Linked DNA regions of Notamacropus eugenii. The protein of the gene in region 1 purifies or fractionates together with the protein of each later gene. This does not show direct contact. Links are inferred from orthologs where the notes say so. Each region holds a gene or a part of one and is shown in the gene's direction. Other genes may lie near its edges.

Region 1 (9,763 bases):
AGCCCTCCGGCGAGCCCTCCTCCGCACCATGCTGCCTCCCTGCCCTCTGGAAGCCTGGGTTCCCTCCAGCCACACAAGCGGGGTATTAGGAGGACCGCGCCCTGCACGTGTCACACTCTTGTCGTTGTTTCAGCTATCGCTCCCGAGTTTGAGGGGGAGAGGGGAGGGGCGCCTCTAGCCCCTCCGCCCTCGCTGAGATCCACGGAGGGGGAGCGTCACGACTACGGCGGCCTCGGCTTGGAGAGGTCCCGGGGGCACCCACGGAGCCCCAGAGCCCGGCTCTGAAAGGATGCCGCTCAAACTGGCCTCTCAGAACGCAAAGGACACGTCACTTCCGCTCGCCCGACCTTCTGACACTTACTCACCCCAAAGCCCCGAGTCTTTTGATTGGGAGAAGGAAAGGGGGCGGGGAGATATCAGGCCACGCCCCGAAGGGGGTGTGGGATGTTCTGGCCGCGCACAAAGGAGGCGGGAGCCCGAGCACCGCCCCCGGTCGGCGTGACGTCACCACGTTTGCCCGTCCGGGCGCGCAGGCGCTCGGTCAGAGTTCAGAGGTCAGGGTCTCGGGCGGCATGTGAGGGAACATTCCCAGGGCGGTGCGTGGAGGCGTCGCTGTCGGACCCTGGGACGTGTTTCCAGCGGGGTACGAGCCCTCTGGGGCCCCGCGGGGCGGCGGGAGGGACTAGGAAGTGGCGGGCCTGGGTGCGAGTCCCGACACCGACGCTCGGGCCCCGGGCAGGAGGAGGAGGAGGAGGGCGAGCCCCAGGAAGGCTCAAGGCCAGAGGGCAGCGCGACCCAGCTGGAGACTCGGGGTGCGGCCTGGGCTGCCCGGGGCTGGAAGGGACCCTCAGGCCACCGTCCCCCGGCCCTACGGGCGAGGAAACTGAGGCCAAGGTCCGGAAGGCCTCGCTCGGTGCCATCGAGCTCGGCAGTCCCCGGCCGTGAACAGCCCCTCCTAGCCGGAGGTCTGAGGTCCCCAGAGGAACCACCTGCGGGGGGCGGGCCGAGGTCTCTAGCCATTCCCCGCCCCCTCACGTCCTGCTCAGTAACCTCCCGCAGCGAATCCCGAAGGTCGCCCGGTGGCTCCCCCCCAATACTTACTCTTCCATCGGGTGACCGCCGCCTCCCTTCTGGCGGCTCCGTGGGCCGGACCCCTCCATCCTCTCCCCCACGCCGGCCACGCTGCCACTCCCTCGCCCCGCCCACTGACCTCCCTGGCCGCTAACGTCCCATCTTATGCTGGAAGCCTCCCCCAGCCGTTCTAATCGCAGTGCCTTCCCTTCTGGTCATCCCCGAGTTGTCCCAGAGCTCCTTGAGGGCAGGGAGTAACTGCCACCTGGAACCAGTCACTAAAGCTGCCTGGGCCTCAGTTTCCTTTTCTGTAAAATGCAGGGTTTGAGGCTCGGTGGAAGGGTGCTGTGCTCTTTGAGCAAAGCAGAATTGAGACAGCACAAAGTAAATGTAGGCTGCGCAAATTTAGGATATCTACCCAAAATATCCACGGACTATCTGTGGCAGAGCATTCCCAGCTTGTATTGGTCTGATCAGCCACAGTGGGACACACTGAAACTTCACTTTATCATGGGGATGTCATTTTGGTCCTCTTCGGAAGAGGAAGGACAACAGCCAACCAACCATCTGTAATCTAGTGGTTATCATCAGATTCCAAGAAGAAAAAAAGCCAAGTGGCTTTTCAAGCCTATACTTATTCACCTTTAGTACTCAGATTCATAGAAATGCAGACTTGTCATAGTCTGGAACTGAAAGGACCTCAAGAAATCTAGGCCAAGGATTCCTTGCCTGGAGTCAATAAATTTGTTTTTGTTTTTTTTTAATTATTTTGATCATTATTTCAATATAATTCTTTGCATTTGTAATCCTACTTGTTTTATTTTTGTGCTGCATAAAACAGTATTAGAATTCTAGGTGGTATAGTAGATGAGAGTGCCAGGCCTATAGTCAGTCAGGGTCATCTTCCTGAGTTCAAATCTGGCCTCAGACACTTATCAGCTGTGTGACCCTGGGCAGGTCACTTTACCCTTTTTGCCTCAGTTTCCTCATCTGTCAGATGAGCTGGAGAAGGAAATGGCAAACCACTCCAGTATCTTTGCCAAGAAAATCCCAGATGGGGTCATAAAGAGTCAGGACTGAAACAACAATTAGGAGAAGAGGGTCCATAAATTTTACCAGATTACCAAAGGGATTGGTGACACAAAATAGGTTAACATCCCCTAATCTAGGCCAGCACCAGGTCAGGAGGAGGCAAAGGGATGTTCCTGTTACTGACATATAGCCAGTCCCAGTCATTGGTAGAACCTGGGGTCAAACCCTACTCTCTTCTCTGTACTTGACTGAAGGGCTTCTCCATATTCATCTCCTAACTTCTCTTTGGGTGAGAGTAAAAGTAGCAAGCAGTATGAAACTTGGCTAAACCTCTCCTGTGTCCATGGACTTAGGTAGTCCTCTAGACAGAAGGAAATGTACTTATGTTATAAATCATAACCACCAACTAGACTGATTTTTAAACTTTGAAATTTCTTTTTTAGGTGACAAAATAACAAAATGTCAGTTGTTCGTTCTACTGTCCATGCCAAATGGATAGTGGGGAAGGTGATTGGGACAGCAATGCAGAGAACTGCCAAAGTGCAAGTCAACAGGCTTGTTCTGGACCCCTACTTACTCAAGGTGAATCTTATTATTATTTATCATCAAATAAGATGTATAAAACACAAAACGCAGAAGGTCACGGGGATAGATTAGTTCCTTAACTCTCCTTCGTAGATGAGCCAAGTCATTTTCATGTTTGAAAAATCATTATTGGCTACGCTCACTCAAATCTATCCTTGTTTTAGAACTTGTTTTAGAAAAACTTTTTGTCATAAATTACATGCCAAACTCATTGTGAACACATATCTACTTTAACAAGTTAATAATTTACATATTACGCCCTTTGTGTTTCTAATCTTTAACCAGTCAGTTCTGTTTATATACATAATTTAAATATCTGGTCATAGTGTAGCGTTGTTTTTATTGTTCAGTTGTGTCCGTCTTGGAGTTTTATTGGCAAAGATACTGGAGTGGTTTGCCATGTCCTTCGCCAGTTCACTTGACAGAGGGGGCAAACATGATTAAGTAGCTCCCCCAGGATCATGTAGCTAGTGAGTATCTGACCAGATTTGAACTTAGGGAGATGAGTTTTCTGACTCCAGACCCAGCATTCTGTGCATTCTGTGCACTGCCTAATTCTGCTTGCTTTATTATGTCACTTTACTATAGTATCTCATTACGGTAATGTCCCACCATTTATTCAGCCATCCTCCAGTTGATATTCAGTAATAATAGTTAACATTTATATAGTGTTTACTGTGTGCCATGCACTGTGCCAAACACTTTTTAAATATTATCTTATTTGATCTTCACAAGTCTAGCATGACAGAACTGACATTTAATCTATGTGCATTGTTAAGCTGCCGTCATTATCCCCAATTTACAGAAGAGGAAACTTGAGGCAAACAGGTAAAGTGACTTGCCCAGGGTCACACAACTAGTAACTGAGACCACATTAGAACTATGTCTTCCTGGCTCCAAGTGGTTGACCATTTTTCATTCTAGCAGACAGTGCAGCTAAAAATATTTAAAAAGTCCATGTGAGTGGTGAACATGGAGTATGACTAGTGATCAGAGAGAAAAGTCTGTATGTCGGGTTCCATTTCTACTTTGGATGCTGGCTTTGCCACCATAGGCAAGTCTATCTATTCCTCTTAGCCTCAGTTTCCCCATCTGTAAAATGAGGCTAGGGATACCTAGAGGATGATTATGGGATGAAAATAAGAGATGTGTGGAAAGCACTTTGCTCCTGGAATCTTGTGGATTTAATACATCCTGGGAGTCAAGTCCCAGGAGTGGGATTCACAGCTCAGAATATGACCACAATGTCATCAGAGCAAATAGCAGAATTGTTCAATTTTACTATTGGGTTATGAAGACGAGTGATTTAACTTTAAACTTGACCCTTCTGTTTCCCTCAACAGTACTTTAATAAGCGAAAAACATACTTTGCTCATGATGCTTCAGAGCAGTGCACAGTCGGAGACATCGTGCTCCTCAAAGCCTTGCCAGTGCCAAGAGCCAAGCACGTGAAACATGAATTGGCCGAGATCATCTTCAAAGTTGGAAGAGTCATCGACCCAATTACTGGGAAACCCTGTGCAGGAACCATGTACCTGGAGAGCCCAACAAGCTCTGAGGCTGCCCTCCCACCCCCCACCAAACCCGAGTCTGAAAGTCTGAAAGAATCCCTCAGCAAAGCTGCACAGAGCCCCAAACAAGCCTGCTGAGGGACACGCTGAACATGCAGACCAGGGAGGCTGTTGTAAATGTTTCCATTCCAGCCATCCTACTTCTGTAGATGAAGCATCGAAAAGTAATAAGTAAGGGACTTTTTCAAGAGCATGTTTTTTCCACAATGATAGTGACTGTTTCAAGTCACCTTATCAGAAGGACAGTGTGGGTATCAGTTTCTTAGAATCTCTGACCTTATTAACAGGCGCATTATTGACTAAGCCAGTTGTTTTGGAAAATAGGATTGATGGTCCATGGAATTTAAAATAACACAGGAGCCAGGGGGAGGGGAGCATAGGGAACGGACATGTTTGTAAATAATTATCTTTTTTTAATAGTAAAATATTGGAAGTACTTTAATGGAATTTTATTTTTAGTGGTTTGTATTCTATTTTTCTCTCACCTCTCATACTAAATGGAAAGAAACTGTTCAATTTTATGGCCAGATTTATTTATATAGATTAAGCTGAATTAATAAAAAACTTTTAAGGGGTTGGGAAAAGTGAACCCTAGCAACATTTTTTATTTCCAAGAAGCAGAATGTTCATTCATTCCTTTCTAAGATTACTGAAAATGAGGTTTCCCTTTTTGTGATAAAATCACAGCTAGAATTTGTTTTCAGACCAAGTAGTTAAGGGTTGTTCTTAATGAGGAGCACTTTTTGGATAGGTTGGGGGGGACCCAGAGGTGCCCACCTGTGCCCTGCAGGGGTGAAGGTTGTGACTTGTCTTGACCAAGTTAGACAATTCTTCAGTAGAGCTGGATTTCACAGTCATGTCCTGTTGGGAATCCAGCCCTGGAGGGAAAACTGACCTCTGAACTATGAAACAACAATGTATTTTAAGGCAAAGGAATAAGCATCTTTTAACTAGTGTGGAGTCTATGTAAAATCAAAAACTAGGATAAGGAAATACTGACTTGGCAAAGAAATGCTCATTCGGTTCAAGTGTCCTGCGTAGGCGGAGGTCAGAAGTCCGGTGGGACAGCACGGGCATTTAGTCCATGGGCATTGTTAAAGCAGATTTTGTTGCCTTGTGCCATCTGTACAGGGGGCCCCCAGGGAGGAAATTCCCCCTCCCTCAGCCATTTCCCCCCAGAATGTCTCCAATATGCAGGAGCTGCTGGACCACCGCTGACAACCCCCTTCTGGAACAGGTGTGAACCGGGAGGGTCTCGGCCTCGGCTGCGGCCCCAAACCTGCCTTCCTTGGAAGTGAGCCTCCAGTAACGCCTGCCTCCCCAGGCTAGGCCGGAGTGCTCTGCCGCTTCTCTAAGGCGTGGCCTGCCCTCGAAGGTCAAGGTCAAGTGCACCCAAGGGCACTCAGGCTGCAGCTGCTCTCTGCCGCCGCGGGGCGGCGCTCCGGGACGCCCCCTGGTGGCGGCGTTACGCGGCGCAGCGCAGGCCTCCCAGCCCGGGCCCGCCCCTTCGGCCTCCGTCGAGCGGCACTGGCATGGGGGAGGGGGCGGAGGGCCGGGGTGGGGGTGGGGGGGCCGAGCTAAGGCGCCAGAGCAAGATGGCGGCGCGAGTGCTGCGGAACCTGGGAGCGGCCGCGCCCCCCCGCCTGCGGCCAGCCCTCAGGTGAGCAGCGCCTGGCGGCCCGGCCTTGACCTTGAACCCCGGGCTGGGACGGGTGAGGTCTATGGCCCGGCGGCGCTCCTCCCCCGGCCCGGTGCCCCGGCCGGGGTTCAAGGTCACGAGCAGGGGCCCGAGCGCCCCTCCAGCCCCACGCGGGAGCCGGGCGGGGCCTAAGGACCCTTCCCCCTGCGGGCCACGCCAAGGGGGAGGGAGGGGGCGCGGGGCTGGGGGCCGACCGTGACCGTGGGTGCGGGAGCTGGCGGCCAGGCCCGACCCCACTATGGGCCGTGGCCGCGGGGGAGCCTGCGGGCGTCCGACTCGATCCCCGCTGACCCCCGCTCTGGCCGCTGTCGCCCTCGGGCCAGCAGGTCAGTGCCAGCCTGGGCTCTGATCCGTGACGCTGTCCTCCCCCGGACCGGGCTTCATGCTCCGGCCGCGGGCTGGACCTCCGAGTTCCCGCTGTCCACTTAGCTTTGCATCCGCTGGTTTCGAAGGGGCGAGTGACACGTAATCCTTGTGTGTAACTGACATTCGTCAGTGACATGTAACTGACCAGAGCAACTTCTGGAGAGCGCAGCGAGCGGCGTTGCGCCTCCCTCCTGGGCCGGGGAGTCCCGGACAGCGTTCTTTGTGTGTAGATATTGTCCCATCCCGTTCTTTTCAAGCATATGCTATACCAGGTACATTAAGCGCAACGCACCCAGGGAACGGTGAAACAAGAATAGAAAATAAACATGGCAGCGAAATAATGCTCACAGGTCCTTCTTGCAACTCTGAAGTGTATGCCTCTGCATTCACTTGAATGCTTCTTGGTTTCACATGCTGAAATCCGTTCTAACCTTTACCACAAGAGAATTTCTTTTTTTTTTTTTAGGGAAATGTTTGACGTTTTGCTCTGGCTCTTTGGAAAACTGCCCACCTCAAAGTGCTTATTATATATAAAGGAATTGCTAAAGATACTAAATGCTAAAGATATAAAGCAAAGAAATATTGTTTTAATTTCAGAAAAGGCAAGTAATCTAATCTAAATTCAAAAGGCAGAGAACATTGTTTATATACTGGGCTTTGAGACAATCAGTTTAGATTTTGAAATTTCTGATAAAGTTTAATAGATGCAGACAATAAAAGTTTAAGATTAGACAAAAACCTAACTTCATTTTTAAAAAGATGTGGTAGAGATTATGCTCCGGAATATTTGATTTTGGTTTTTGTGTGTGCCAGTAACAGATCCTAAATGTTTACAAGATACTCTCCTACATATATTAATCTATGAAAAATGTAATTCTGTTTATTGAACAATTTTTGCTGTTTTCAATAATGTATTTTAAGAATCACTTTTTTCTGCTAATGCCCCAAGCCCATCTTAAGAAAATGTTTTATATATTTAAAAAGTATTCTTATTTACTGTCTTTATATTTGCATATGTTTATATAGCTACATATTTCAAAACGCTGTCCCATGTAGTTTCAGACAATTGAAATTAAATAAGTCAATATAGTCTATGGATTGAGATATATAAAAGCCATTAAAATCCAGAGCAGCTTTATTTTTTTTTAATGACTGGAGATAGGAGGAAGACAAATCCAGTAAATTTATAAAAGCAACAAGTTAATCTTAAGAATAAGGAAAATACAATTTTGCATAGTAGGTGGATATGTTGTATAAGAACAGATTTGTGTAATTTGCAGGATTTTCAGTTATGAGCATGTGTATCTATCTTGTAAAACCAAGGGAGATTTGTATCCTTGAGTGTTTTCTTCCCTGTATTTCTTGGCCCTGAAGGTCACCTTCCTAATTGCTAGCTCACAGTTATTGTTAGGGCCTGTCCTCCCACGCTTTGTTCAGAACTGTCAGACTCCTTGGCTACATGGATACAGTATACAAAGTAACACTTTGCGATACTCTGTGACTAAGTTCTCATTGTCTTCATTTCCTTAAATTCAGAAGCCTACATGAAAGCCCTACAGCACAGGCCTGGGGATATTAGGATGTGATTTCTTAGGGAAAAACGAAATTCCTCCAGAATTTTTTATTTAGGCACATTTGTTGTGATTCACAAACTGATAATTGCCATGACACAGCCAGTAAGGTGAGACAATATTTGTTGAATTCATTTTACTGAGAGATGGAGAAAGAAGTTACAAATAATCTATCCAGGGATGATCCTCAGGATTCATTTGATACTCCTTTCGGGTGGAGTACAGATCACATTTCTGAGCTTGGGCTGAGAGATTGAACTTGATCTATGGGGCAGTGGGAATCCAAAAGTTTTAATGTAGGTGGTAGGATCCAACCCATGGGAAGAGTAGTCGATTTGGGCCAAGACAATGAAGATCCATCAGAGTGATAAGAAGGTGGGAGCAGGGTTTGTAGGGAATGTTCAGTGACTGGTACCACTTTGTAAGAGTGCCTACCTGGTCTCTCTGACAGGGTACATGTACCAAAGTACTGTGCCTGGCACATAGTAGGTGCTTAATAAAGGTTTATTGATTGGTTGACTGTTATAAATTCATTTGGAAGATGGAAATTATCCAATCTGTCCTGTGTGATAGTGTTTGTATCTTTAGGTTTAATTAGAGTAGAATTGACTTTAGTGAAAAGTCATTTTTGAGGTACTTTTCATTTTCTTTACACAAATTTTGCTTTGTCAAAGGTTGTTTTAGAAGGAGAAATGCATTCCTAGAATCCTGAAATAAAAACTTTTATATATGGGTGCTCTGGTAGAAAATACAGTCTGCTGAAGTCTTTCTCATTCCACTTGGACGTCACTTTGGGGAGTAAAATAGTTTCATAAACTAGTACTTGGCCTCTTCTGATTAGACAAAATAAGATGATTTGGCAAGATGGTTTGAATAACTTTTTGTAAAGTTTGATAATACTATGATAATTAATAAGATGGTTTGAATAACTTTTTATAAAGTTTGATAATACTATGATAATTAATAAGATGGCTTGAATAACTTTATAAAGTTTGATAATACTATGATAATTAATAAGATGGTTTGAATAACTTTTTATAAAGTTTGATAATACTATGATAATTAATAAGATGGCTTGAATAACTTTTTATAAAGTTTGATAATACTATGATAATTAATAAGATGGCTTGAATAACTTTTTATAAAGTTTGATAATACTATGATAATTAATAAGATGGTTTGAATAACTTTTTATAAAGTTTGATAATACTATGATAATTAATAAGATGGCTTGAATAACTTTTTATAAAGTTTGATAATACTATGATAATTAATAAGATGGCTTGAATAACTTTTTATAAAGTTTGATAATGCTATGATAATTAATAAGATGGTTTGAATAACTTTTTGTAAACTTTGATAATACTATGATAATTAATAAGATGGTTTGAATAACTTTTTGTAAACTTTGATAATACTATGATAATTAATAAGATGGCTTGAATAACTCGTGTGTATGTAAAGCACTTTGAGTTTTATAAGTTACTTATTGAAGTAAGGATTGCAAGGTTATGATTCCACATTTTACAGATGAGGAAACTGAGGCTGAGGGAGGCTAAGTGATTCTGCAAAGGTCAGATGGTTAGTAAGTCTGGGAGATGGACATTTAATAGTGTCTTCTGTGAATAATATAGTAGTTTGACGCTACTTAATTAAAAAACATATAAGCCACTGAAATTCTCATTCAACCTGCACTGACATATCTGTTCATTCCCAGGGGCCTGACAACTTCCTCCAACAGACCTCGTGAAGATAGTTGGTTAAAATCTTTATTTGTCCGGAAAGTTGACCCACGAAAAGATGCTCATTCCAATCTCCTAGCCAAAAAAGAAACAAGCAGTCTGTACAAATTACAGTGTAAGTGAGGT
Region 2 (9,958 bases), on another chromosome or scaffold:
GGTTTATATACATATATATACATATACATATGCATATATATATTTTAGATAAAAGCTATGCCATTTATCCTTAGCCCTCAAAATAACTATTTTAAGAACCTTCCCTATGCCACCACAAGAAACTGTGGTTTTACACACAAACTCTACTTAGGTTGTGGTCAAAAGGATCTTTCTTTAAAACCAAGAAAATGAACTGTTCCTTAACATTGCAAAGTACCCTTAATAAAATAAGGTCATTTACCTATCTGAGAAAGCTTCTAACATGTTAAGGTTATGATTTCAAATATAATAGAGTTGGAAAATTTTCCCCAACCCATTGGCTTTGTATTAGTACCAAATATCTATCAGTCTTTTCTTCTCTAAGTTCTATCCTTTTCCCTCTACTTCCTGTATTATTAGATAAGAAACATAATTTTCATTTCACATCAAACTTCCACAAATTTCCATGAATTTATCCTTCTTACCCATGTCCTGTTATAAATCTGCCATATGGCTGCACCCCACATACTAACCGGAGGGTTTCTTTTAAATCTCTGGATATTATGTATATGTGAATAGATTGAATGAGCTACCCATAAGACATTTTTCCAAACTGCCTGGTCCATTTCCTTATCTCAAACATCTCTCACTTCTCCAGTGCTATCTTTTCTGCCACAAGATTCCGCTATACAGTTCTTCCATGGTAATAAAGTGTAGTGTATTTATGTCCCCTATGTATCTGTCCATTTCTCTTTGGGCAGAGGCTGTGATATATTCCTTGACTCTCAAAGGACATCACAACCAGAATACTGACTATGTTAAAAAGATAGATCTCTGTTTCAGCTTAATGCTTGGAGGTCACTAAAAGCATTTCCCAAAATGTAAGCTAATCTAGCCCATGGCTTTTCTCTTATTCAATTCTGTCCAATACCCTTTTCACATTCAAAGCCTAAGATACATATATTCATAGGTCAGCTCTATAGGCTGCCCTTCTAAATGCTCATTGTAATCTGGATAACAGGTATTCTTCTTCCACTTGGTATTTTCTACATGAATAATTATGTGAAACTCTTTTGAGTAATTAAGGATTTTATTTAGAAGATTTTGTACTATTCCAGAGGCTTGACACAATCCACCTCACCATCTACAACATTAGTTCTTAACTTGTTTGTGTCACAGAGCTCTTGGGTAATCTTCTCAGAATACTCTTTTTTTAAAAAATATTTATTTATTTATTTTTAGTTTTCAACATTTATTTCCACAAGATTTTGAGTTCCAAATTTTCTCCCCATATCTCCCTTCCCCCCAAGACAGTGTACATTCTGATTATTCCTTCCCCCAATCTGTGCTCCTTTCTACAACCACCACCCCCTTTCTCTTATACCCTTCCCCTTCTATATTTCTGTAGGGCAAGATAGATTTCTATACCCCATTGCCTGTATATCTTATTTCCCAGTTGCATGTAAAAACAATTTTTAACATTTGTTTCAAAAACTTTGAGTTCCAAATTCTCTCTCTTCCTCCACCCCCATTGAGATAGCAAGCAATTTGAGACAGGTTATACATGTGTAGTCATGCAAAACACTTCCATAACAGTCATGCTATGAAAGACTAATTATATTTGCCTCCAACCTATCCTGCCCCCCATTTATTCTATTCTCTCTTTTGACCCTGTTCCTCCTCAAAAGTGTTTGCCTCTGATTACCTCCTCCCTGAATCTGCCCTCCCTTCTACCATCCCCTTTTCTCTTATCCCCTTCCTCCCACTTTCCTGCAGGGTAAGATAGATTTCCATACCCAAATGAGAATGTGTGTTATCCTCTCCTTGAACCAAATCTAATGAGAATAAAGTTCATTCATTCCCTCTCACCTTCCCCCTCTTTCCCTCCACTGTAAAAGCTTTTTCAGAATATCGTTAAATCATAAAATAAAGTATAAAGGACTACAAAGGAAACCAATACACTGAAATACAGTTGTCAAAATATATTTTTAAATTAAGATGATATCTCTCTCCTCACCCACCCCCCATTCTTTGAAGGGAGCACCTGGTTTCCCAGGTATGATATGGAACACTAAAGATTTTTTTGTAATTTGGTTTGTTTTGCTGAATTTTTTCCCCTCTTCTTCCCCATGCCCCTCTTTTAGATTTTTTGATATAAAGGATGGTTCTCCAAGAGAGGAAGGGAAAAATCTAGTAAGAACAATATTTTTAAAAAGTAAAAATTGTGAAAGCCTGCCTGTTCCTTTCTCATATTTTCATCAAGAATGTCTTTAATATATATGTAAATTAATTTCAAAGGTTTTCTAATGAAAGAAGTTACAGTATATGTTGATTTAAACTGGAAGGAAAGCTTCTTGGGCAAGTCAATCCTGTTTGCTTCAGTTTCCTCATCTGTAAAATGAGCTCTAGAAGGAAATGGCAGTTTAATCTCACTTAATTCTCAAAACAAACATGTGAGATAAATATACGATAAGTATATTTTCTCATTTTATAGATGAAGAAATTGAGGCTGAATGAAGTTAAGTGACTTTCTAAGGGTCACATAGCTACTAGATCTGAGGCAGAATTCACATTGAGGTCTTACTGATCCTAAATCATACTTGAGATCCAATATACCAACTGTCTCTCAAGAAGCTGACAATGTAACTGAGGAGAAAGGACGGGAATGTATATAGGAAATAACATAAGTAACAGTAAGGCAGCATCTAATACTAAACAAGATTTGGGAGAGGGAGACGACAGCATGACATTTCGAGTAGTCCAGGAAAGCTTTCGGAAGTTGTGACTTCAAATTTGGCCTTAAAGATAACAGACCAGTCTCTTGTCTTCATGAAAGCAGACTTATGTAATTTTTGTATCTCTCCAAAGCAAGAAGTCCAGTGCTCTATAGAGAGTAAACATTTAACAAAAGTTTGTTGAATTATTTCCATATCTTACCTGTGCCTTCTTCCTCACCTTTGCTCTTAAACCCCCATAGCTCCCTTACACTGCTCAAGTGTCATTTCCTACGGGAGACCTTTCCTTATACCACAGCTGTTATAAGCTCCTACCTCCCCCCACCCCAATCCAACTCCAGCCCATTACTCTGTATTTAGATGGTATATATTCTGTATTTACCTAACTGTGCAACTGTTGTTTTTTCCCAGTAGACTTTAAGATCCTTGAGAGCAGAAACTTTTCATTTTTATTGCTATATCCCCAGTTGAGTTAAGTAGTCCTTGCTTTGCTAAGTTTCATGATCTCAGGTAATACTCAGCCTCAGAGAACCACACCTTCACAGGTTCATAGAACCTCAGAATTCACCTGAGAGGTTTAGTCCAACCTGTACCCAAGTAAGTCAAACTCAGTGACAAACTGTCACCCAATCTACCTTAAAGATGTCCAATAACAGGAAATTCATTACCTCTGGAGGCATCTCATTTCACTTTGGGCCTATATCCTTGGAAGAGATTTTATGTATATGTGCACATGTATATATACAAACACATATTTAGATGTTATTTTTATTTTTTCCTCAATTCCAGATAAACAAAAATTTAACATTCATTTTTTAAAACTTTGAGTTCCAAATTCTTTTCCTCCCTCTCTTTTTCCATCTTTAAGATTAGGCAAGCAAGTGGATATAGGTTGTGCATGTTCAGTCATGCAAAATATTTCCACATTAGCAAAAATTCTGTTTTGAGCTTAAACTTATCTTAGCAACTTTTACTCAATACTTCCAGGTTTCCACCTCCAGGATCTCACCCCTCTCTTCAACAGGACAACCTTTCAAAGCAGTTTTTTGTTAAAGTTTCTTCTCCAGACTAGATATTCCAAATTCCTTCACCTCATCCCTCTATGCTATGGTTTCCTACGGGTCAAGCTACGGACAAAGCTCCAGATCGTCAACTTCCTTCTTAAGATTCAGCAAATACACATGTTGTTTGCCTAGTGGGTTATGAAACCGAAGTATTTGCACCAGATGTGCAAATTGGGATACCGGCTCTGCCTGTTTGGGGAGGATGCCCTAAAGATAAAAAAAAAAAAAGCGACACAACTTGAGACATTATCTAGTCCGACCTCCTTATCTTATAAATGAGGAAACTGAGGCCCTCGCAGGCAAAATGAAGTGCCCAGGACTCTATCCTACCTCAGCTACCTCCTCTCATGCACCAGAAAGTATTTTAGGATCGTAAGAAGTAACTGCTTTCTCTCGCTTGCTCTCTCCCCATCCTGCTTGACCTCTCCTCTCCTCTCCCCCCGCCCACGCCAGAAGCAGCCACTCGCAGACCCCGGCCTCGCCCCGACGTGGGCTGTCCCGAGGCCGTGCTCCCCTGGGGTGCTCCGGAGCTGAGGCACACCAGCACCACTCACCATCCCGCTCTAAGTCTACGGCGGCAGCCCCAAACAACGCTTGGGCTTCACTGGAGGCTGCGATCTACCCGCTTACTACATGCTCACAGCAAGGAAACAAGCCAGCAACAGCTGGTCAAAAACAGGCTTCGGGCCAACGCCTGGGATTTCCGTCTGCGTTCTAAAAGGCGCCGGACCTGGAAGCCCAGGGACCTGGGTTCGAGACTCCGTGCCGACGCTGACAGCCATGGGCTTCGGGCCCTACTTTCAACCTACGTATCGAAGAACACAGAGTAGATTTATGCAGAGAAATAAGTAAATAGTAATAGTCACAGTCTACCCCCCACGGAGCTGCCCGCAGGAAAGTGCTTCGTAAAACGCGCTGCGTGCGGGGGGTGGGGGAGGTTCCAGGATCTGGAGAAGAGAGGCTGGGGCAAAGACTGGGAGCGGAAGGCCGCCGTCTATCCCGTCATTTTACAGGTGGGCAAACCAAGGCCCCGAGGAGAAGCTCCATCCCCTCGTTTTACAGATTCGCAAACCGAGGCCCAACCCCTTCGTTTTACAGACAGGGAAGCTGAGGCTCAGAGAGGGAAAACGACCCTCCCGCGATCACGAGTCACCCGGTTACCGTGCCCCAGTCCCATCCACCAGTCCACACCCCGTCCCCCATGATCGCGACCCAGGGCAGGGTGGGCCGGGGGCCGAGCCAGGGCCGGGGATGGGGCGTGGAGGAAGAGGCCCCGGTCGGGTGGGTTCGGGGGCAAGAGCGCTCCCTCCTCGCTCACCTCAGTTCTACGGCTGTCCGACCTCCAGCCCACAGCGATCCTGCCAACTAGAGGTGAACGGGCCGGACCAGACGCCGCCGGCTATAAACCGCCCCGCCCCGCCCATCGGTTACGTTCCGGGCTTCACCACATCTCCCCCCCCGCCGCCCCACAACCGCATTCCCGTCCGCGGGCTGTTCTGGCCTTCGCCTGACAGAAACTCCCCCGAGCCCCGCCCCTCCGCCCAGGGGCGGCTTCTGCTCCGGGGACTAGGACGGGAGGCTCTTCCGCCCGCTTCCGCCCGAGCAGAGGCCAGGGGTGCCCGCGGGAGCTCCGTCCCTGCCTCGGCTCCCTTCCGGCAGTGTACCGGGCAGGCCCGAGCGGGCAGAGTCCCTGGCACCGAGGACCCCTGCTTCGCGGCTTGCCCAGCTCCCCGCGCGAGCTCGCATTCGCCCTCTCCCGTCCAAGATGGTGGCCGCCCGGGCAATTGGCAGCCTCGGCCGCCTGACGGCTTCCCGCGCCCGCCGCTTCCCGGGTGAGGCCGCTGCTGGGAGGGCGGGGAGGGGAGGGAGCCGGCCTCCGGAGACCCCCTGAGGGTGGGTGGGGAGGGAGGCAGAAGATGCGGGCCGCTTCCCCTGACCCCGCCCCCGAGCGGAGCCCAGCCGCCAGCCCCCGAGGCGCCCACCTGTGTCGCTGCTTGCCCAGCCGGCAGCCGCTCCCTGTCCACTCCCCGGGGGGTCCAGCATCCAGAGAGTTGGAAGGGACGTCCGAGGTCACCTCATCCCCTCCTACCCCCGAGAAAGCCGAGGCCCGGGGAGGGGAAGGGACTTGGCCAAGGTCACGGGCAGAGTCAGCGTTGTCGCCGACCCCTGACCCCTGCAGTCACCGCTGCCCCCAGATCTGCCCCTTGCCCATCCTTCCCTGGCCCCTGCATTTCAGCTGTCCGGGTGGCCGGTGCCCGCCTCCGAGCTGGGGTTCAGATCCCAGGTCTGGCACTTCATGGCGTGTAGGGCAGTGGGAAAGCTCTTTAAGCCTCTGTGACTCATCAGGGAAATGGGGACGTAGCTACGACCCCCGGGAATTACATGGATCCCAAGGTGCTTTACGTGCTTTGCCAGCTTGAAAAAGCTCTGCACGTATTGGCGCTTATTGGGTGAAGTACCCGCTCGTGGAGAGCAGGTGCGGGGCTTGTCCTGCCTGCCTCGTGTGAGAAGCCACTTTAGTGGAGCGGACGGTGCTGGTTGGTTGGAGTTCCCCACTTGTCTGCAGGAATTAGGCTATTTTTGCGGCAGGTGGGGCTTACCTTGACATAGTGGATGGGGAGCTGGGCTTGAAAACTGGTTTCAAATCCGGCTTCTGACCCATACTAGCGGGGTGAGAATCACTTAAACCTCTCGGTACACTAGGCCGTTAAGACTGTAAACTGCAGGGAAAAGGTTGGCTGGCATTGGTAGAGAGGGTTTCCCCTGGTCATAAAATCAATAAAATCCAGTCTCCACTGATCTTACAGCGATTAAGAGACCGTATGAGTGATGTGATGGCTAAAGGAACAACTTTGGATTGCTTTGATTTCAGTTCAGTTCAGCATGAATTTTTATGTAGTTTTTACATGCCAGGAACCGGACTAGGGGCTAAGGGTTGCTTCTGACTGCTCTAAGGCACCTCAGTTAAGACCCTAAATTACAAGCAGGTTTGAATTGGGAATTTCTGATGGAGTAGAGGAAAAAGCAGTTCTGACCCCCAAAAAAGTCACTTTCTGGAGTAACTTGGCAGTAAAAGAATTAATGTGGGTGAGGTGACTTCTAAGTGTGAACTTGGGGGATTTTCTTTCCCATTTAACTTTGTGTGACTCTGTCACCATAGGAAGGTGAGCCCTGCAGTTTTATTTAACTTCTCTTCGGATAGTTATGATATGCTAATGCATCAAAAGATGAGGCTGTATAAATAACAATGCAATTGGAACTCAAGTCTTCCGACTACAGTGTTAGAGCATTGGAATCAGATGATCTGAAGTCCTGTCTACTTTACCACAAATCTTTATGAGTTTTTGGATTTTGGATTCCAATCTTCCATTCTAAAGTTGATCTCTGAGATCTTTTCCAGCTGAAACATTCTGTGATTCTGTGTTCTTTATCATTTAAAAATTGTTGTCATTTGTGCTGATGTTGAAAGGTCTAGTGTGAAAAAGGTAGCGTGGGTAGATAAGAAGCTTGTCCTGGAGTCAAGAAGACTAGTAGGAAACCTGTCTCAGATCCTTGTGTAACTGGAACAGTTGCTTAACTAACCTCTCTCAGCCTCAGTTTTTTTTAATCTGTAAAATGAGGATGATATGGGAACCTCCTTTTTCATGAGGGTCGAATGAGATAATATATGTAAAGCATTCTGCATATTTTGAAGTTATATGTAAATTATATATATATATAATACTCTTATTAAAGGTGGAGGGAGGGCTAGTGGTGGACATTGGAAGACCTGGATTCAAGTCCTGTTTCTGAAACCTACTGTCCTATGTGGCCTTAAGCAAGTCACTTAACCTTAATCTGCTTCTGGGCTGACCTCTGAATTATAAATTACAGATGAACTGGTAAAAGTTTTCACATCTAGAATTCACCACACAAATGATAGTAAATGTCTAGGCCAAGAAAACACTGGGATTGTAATTACAGAAAAAAACACCTACAAAAATTACAAAGAATAGGAAGGCAAGTGTTAATTCATGTCTTTTTTGGGAGTATCTACACTAATGAGATCATTAATCCAGTATAATCACAAAATATTTTAAAGTTTTTACTCCAGCCACAGATTTTGACTAGTTGAAGGTTATGATTGGAGATTTTTTTTTCTGCCTTTGTGTATTGAATGTAATTTCTGCTTTAAATTTCCCTGAACTCAAACATAATAACTTATCAACTTATTTAAAGATAAGAAATTGACCTCTCACTTTTAGGAACTAATGACTTTATGACCTTTGTGTAAATTTGCTGCTGAATGGCTGCCTAGTGAATCTGATCTAATCAAAATTAACTTTGTAACACTGAATTCTTAACCCTTTATCTTCTGTAGCAATGGAGGGAAAAGTTATTACCTCACTCTAATATAGCTTTCAAATTATGTGAGTGTTATATGAATTAACATTGTTTTTGTAAATTGAAGGCAGTTTCCTGGCAAAGTGGGTAGTTTTACTAGCCCTCTTCCTTTTTAACTTAATCCCATTTCCCTCCCTCCCTCACTTGAGATATTTAGAAAATGATTAAAGCTTTCATTTCCAAAATATTGTTTGCAGTTTCAACATAATCTGTTTTTCTTTAGGAACCCTAGTTGGGGAAGACAGTTGGTGGAAGACATATTTTCATAAAGCTTGGAAGATATTAGTTTCAGTCTGCTCCCATGTTTAGAAAGTAGGGCAAAGGTTACTCTCTTCTTAGCTGGCAGACTGGAATATAGGCCAAAGTTCACTGAAGCGGCTGTAAGAAATGACAAGCAGGATGCTTTCAGAAAAACCTAGAAAGATTTCCATGAACTGAAGCAGTGACATGAGCAGAACCAGGATATTATTATACACCAAGAACAGCAGTATTATATGATGAAGAACTGTGAATGACTTGGCAGTTCTTAGCAATAATATCCAAGACAATTCCAAAAAATTCATGATAAAAAATGCTACACTTCCAGGGAAAGAACTAATGGAGTGTGAATGCAGACCAAAGCATACTGTTTTTCACCTTTTTTGTTTCAGTTTTCTTCCACAAAATTACTAATATGGAAATATGTTTTACATTATTGCACACATATGGCCTATGTCAGCTTGCTTACCATCTTTGCATGGGGGAGGTGGTAGAGAATTTGGAACTCAAAATGTTTAAAAAGAATGTTGAAAATTGTTTTTACATGTAATTGGGGAAAAAATATAATATTTTTTAAAAGATAGAAAGGACCTATATTTACAGAAATATTCACAGCTGCTTTATAAATAATAGCAAAATACTAGTAACTGTGTATTCCATTAATTGGGAAAATAGTTCAGTAATAATGGAAAATAGTTCAATAATAGATATCATGGAATATTATTGTACTGTTATTAAAATAGCAGACATAAAGAATAGAAAGACATATGGGAAGTGATGTAAAACAAAGTCAAAAGAAGTCACATTGACCATAATCATATTTTTAAAAGGCTACAAAATTATATAAGTGCAAAGAACAGAATGGAGTACTGAAAATATTGATGTTAGTGTTTTGTAAAAATTGATGTTATTTTCAAATTGTTACAATTTTAAGGTCTTATTTGAAGATTTATACTACTTTGAGTATTTGGATATTTGAAAATATTAAATTATTTACAGTAAAACAAATTTTGAGATATAAAAGGTTTCATTTAATTGTAGTCATATTGCTGTTTGAGATAACCTTTCACATCTCATGAGTAGGTGAACACATGACTAGGGCACAGTGAGAATATGGTGAGAGATTACAGGCTCAGGATCAAACTGCTTGATAACAAAAGATTAACATATTCATTTCAACTGCCAAGTCATAAAATTTGCCAATGGATACAGCTCTGAGAAAACTTAATATCAAATTGTCTTGATATACCTTCTATCTAGGTTGTAGCTTCTATCTATGTACCTTTGATCTACCTTCTAGCTTCTATCTGTAAACCTAGAAGTTTTTCAAAGGGTTTCATTTTGATATCTTGTTCTCAATAGGTTATATCTGCCGCAACTTTGCCCAGTCCTCTGCTGTGTTAAGTAAGTTTATAGCCTTGATTGAAATACTTCACATTTTTAATTGGTTAGTAATAATATTGTTTGCAAATAAATCTTACATTTGTTTTTAGCCAGAACCCATATTAACTGTGCAGTCAAAGGAGATGTGGCAGTTGT

The links.
Region 2: the proteins of NIPSNAP2 (region 1) and HADHA purify together in Homo sapiens (affinity purification with mass spectrometry; 3 studies listed by BioGRID and IntAct, with this or other methods). This does not show direct contact. The link is inferred for Notamacropus eugenii from reciprocal best matches to the Homo sapiens genes NIPSNAP2 and HADHA.

The regions. Positions count from the first base shown.
Region 1 is NC_092873.1:43,382,525-43,392,287, reverse strand, and holds the start of NIPSNAP2 (protein NipSnap homolog 2), read left to right. Parts: upstream 1-5,781; 5' UTR 5,782-5,791; coding exon 5,792-5,919; intron 5,920-7,973; exon of another isoform or gene 7,974-7,988; coding exon of another isoform or gene 7,989-8,005; intron 8,006-9,612; coding exon 9,613-9,752; intron 9,753-9,763. Other genes in the region: MRPS17 (small ribosomal subunit protein uS17m), read left to right, coding at 2,563-2,685, 4,032-4,337. UniProt on the Homo sapiens protein: Protein involved in mitophagy by facilitating recruitment of the autophagy machinery required for clearance of damaged mitochondria.
Region 2 is NC_092872.1:527,177,576-527,187,533, reverse strand, and holds the start of HADHA (trifunctional enzyme subunit alpha, mitochondrial), read left to right. Parts: upstream 1-5,408; 5' UTR 5,409-5,543; coding exon 5,544-5,610; intron 5,611-9,781; coding exon 9,782-9,823; intron 9,824-9,912; coding exon 9,913-9,958. UniProt on the Homo sapiens protein: Mitochondrial trifunctional enzyme catalyzes the last three of the four reactions of the mitochondrial beta-oxidation pathway.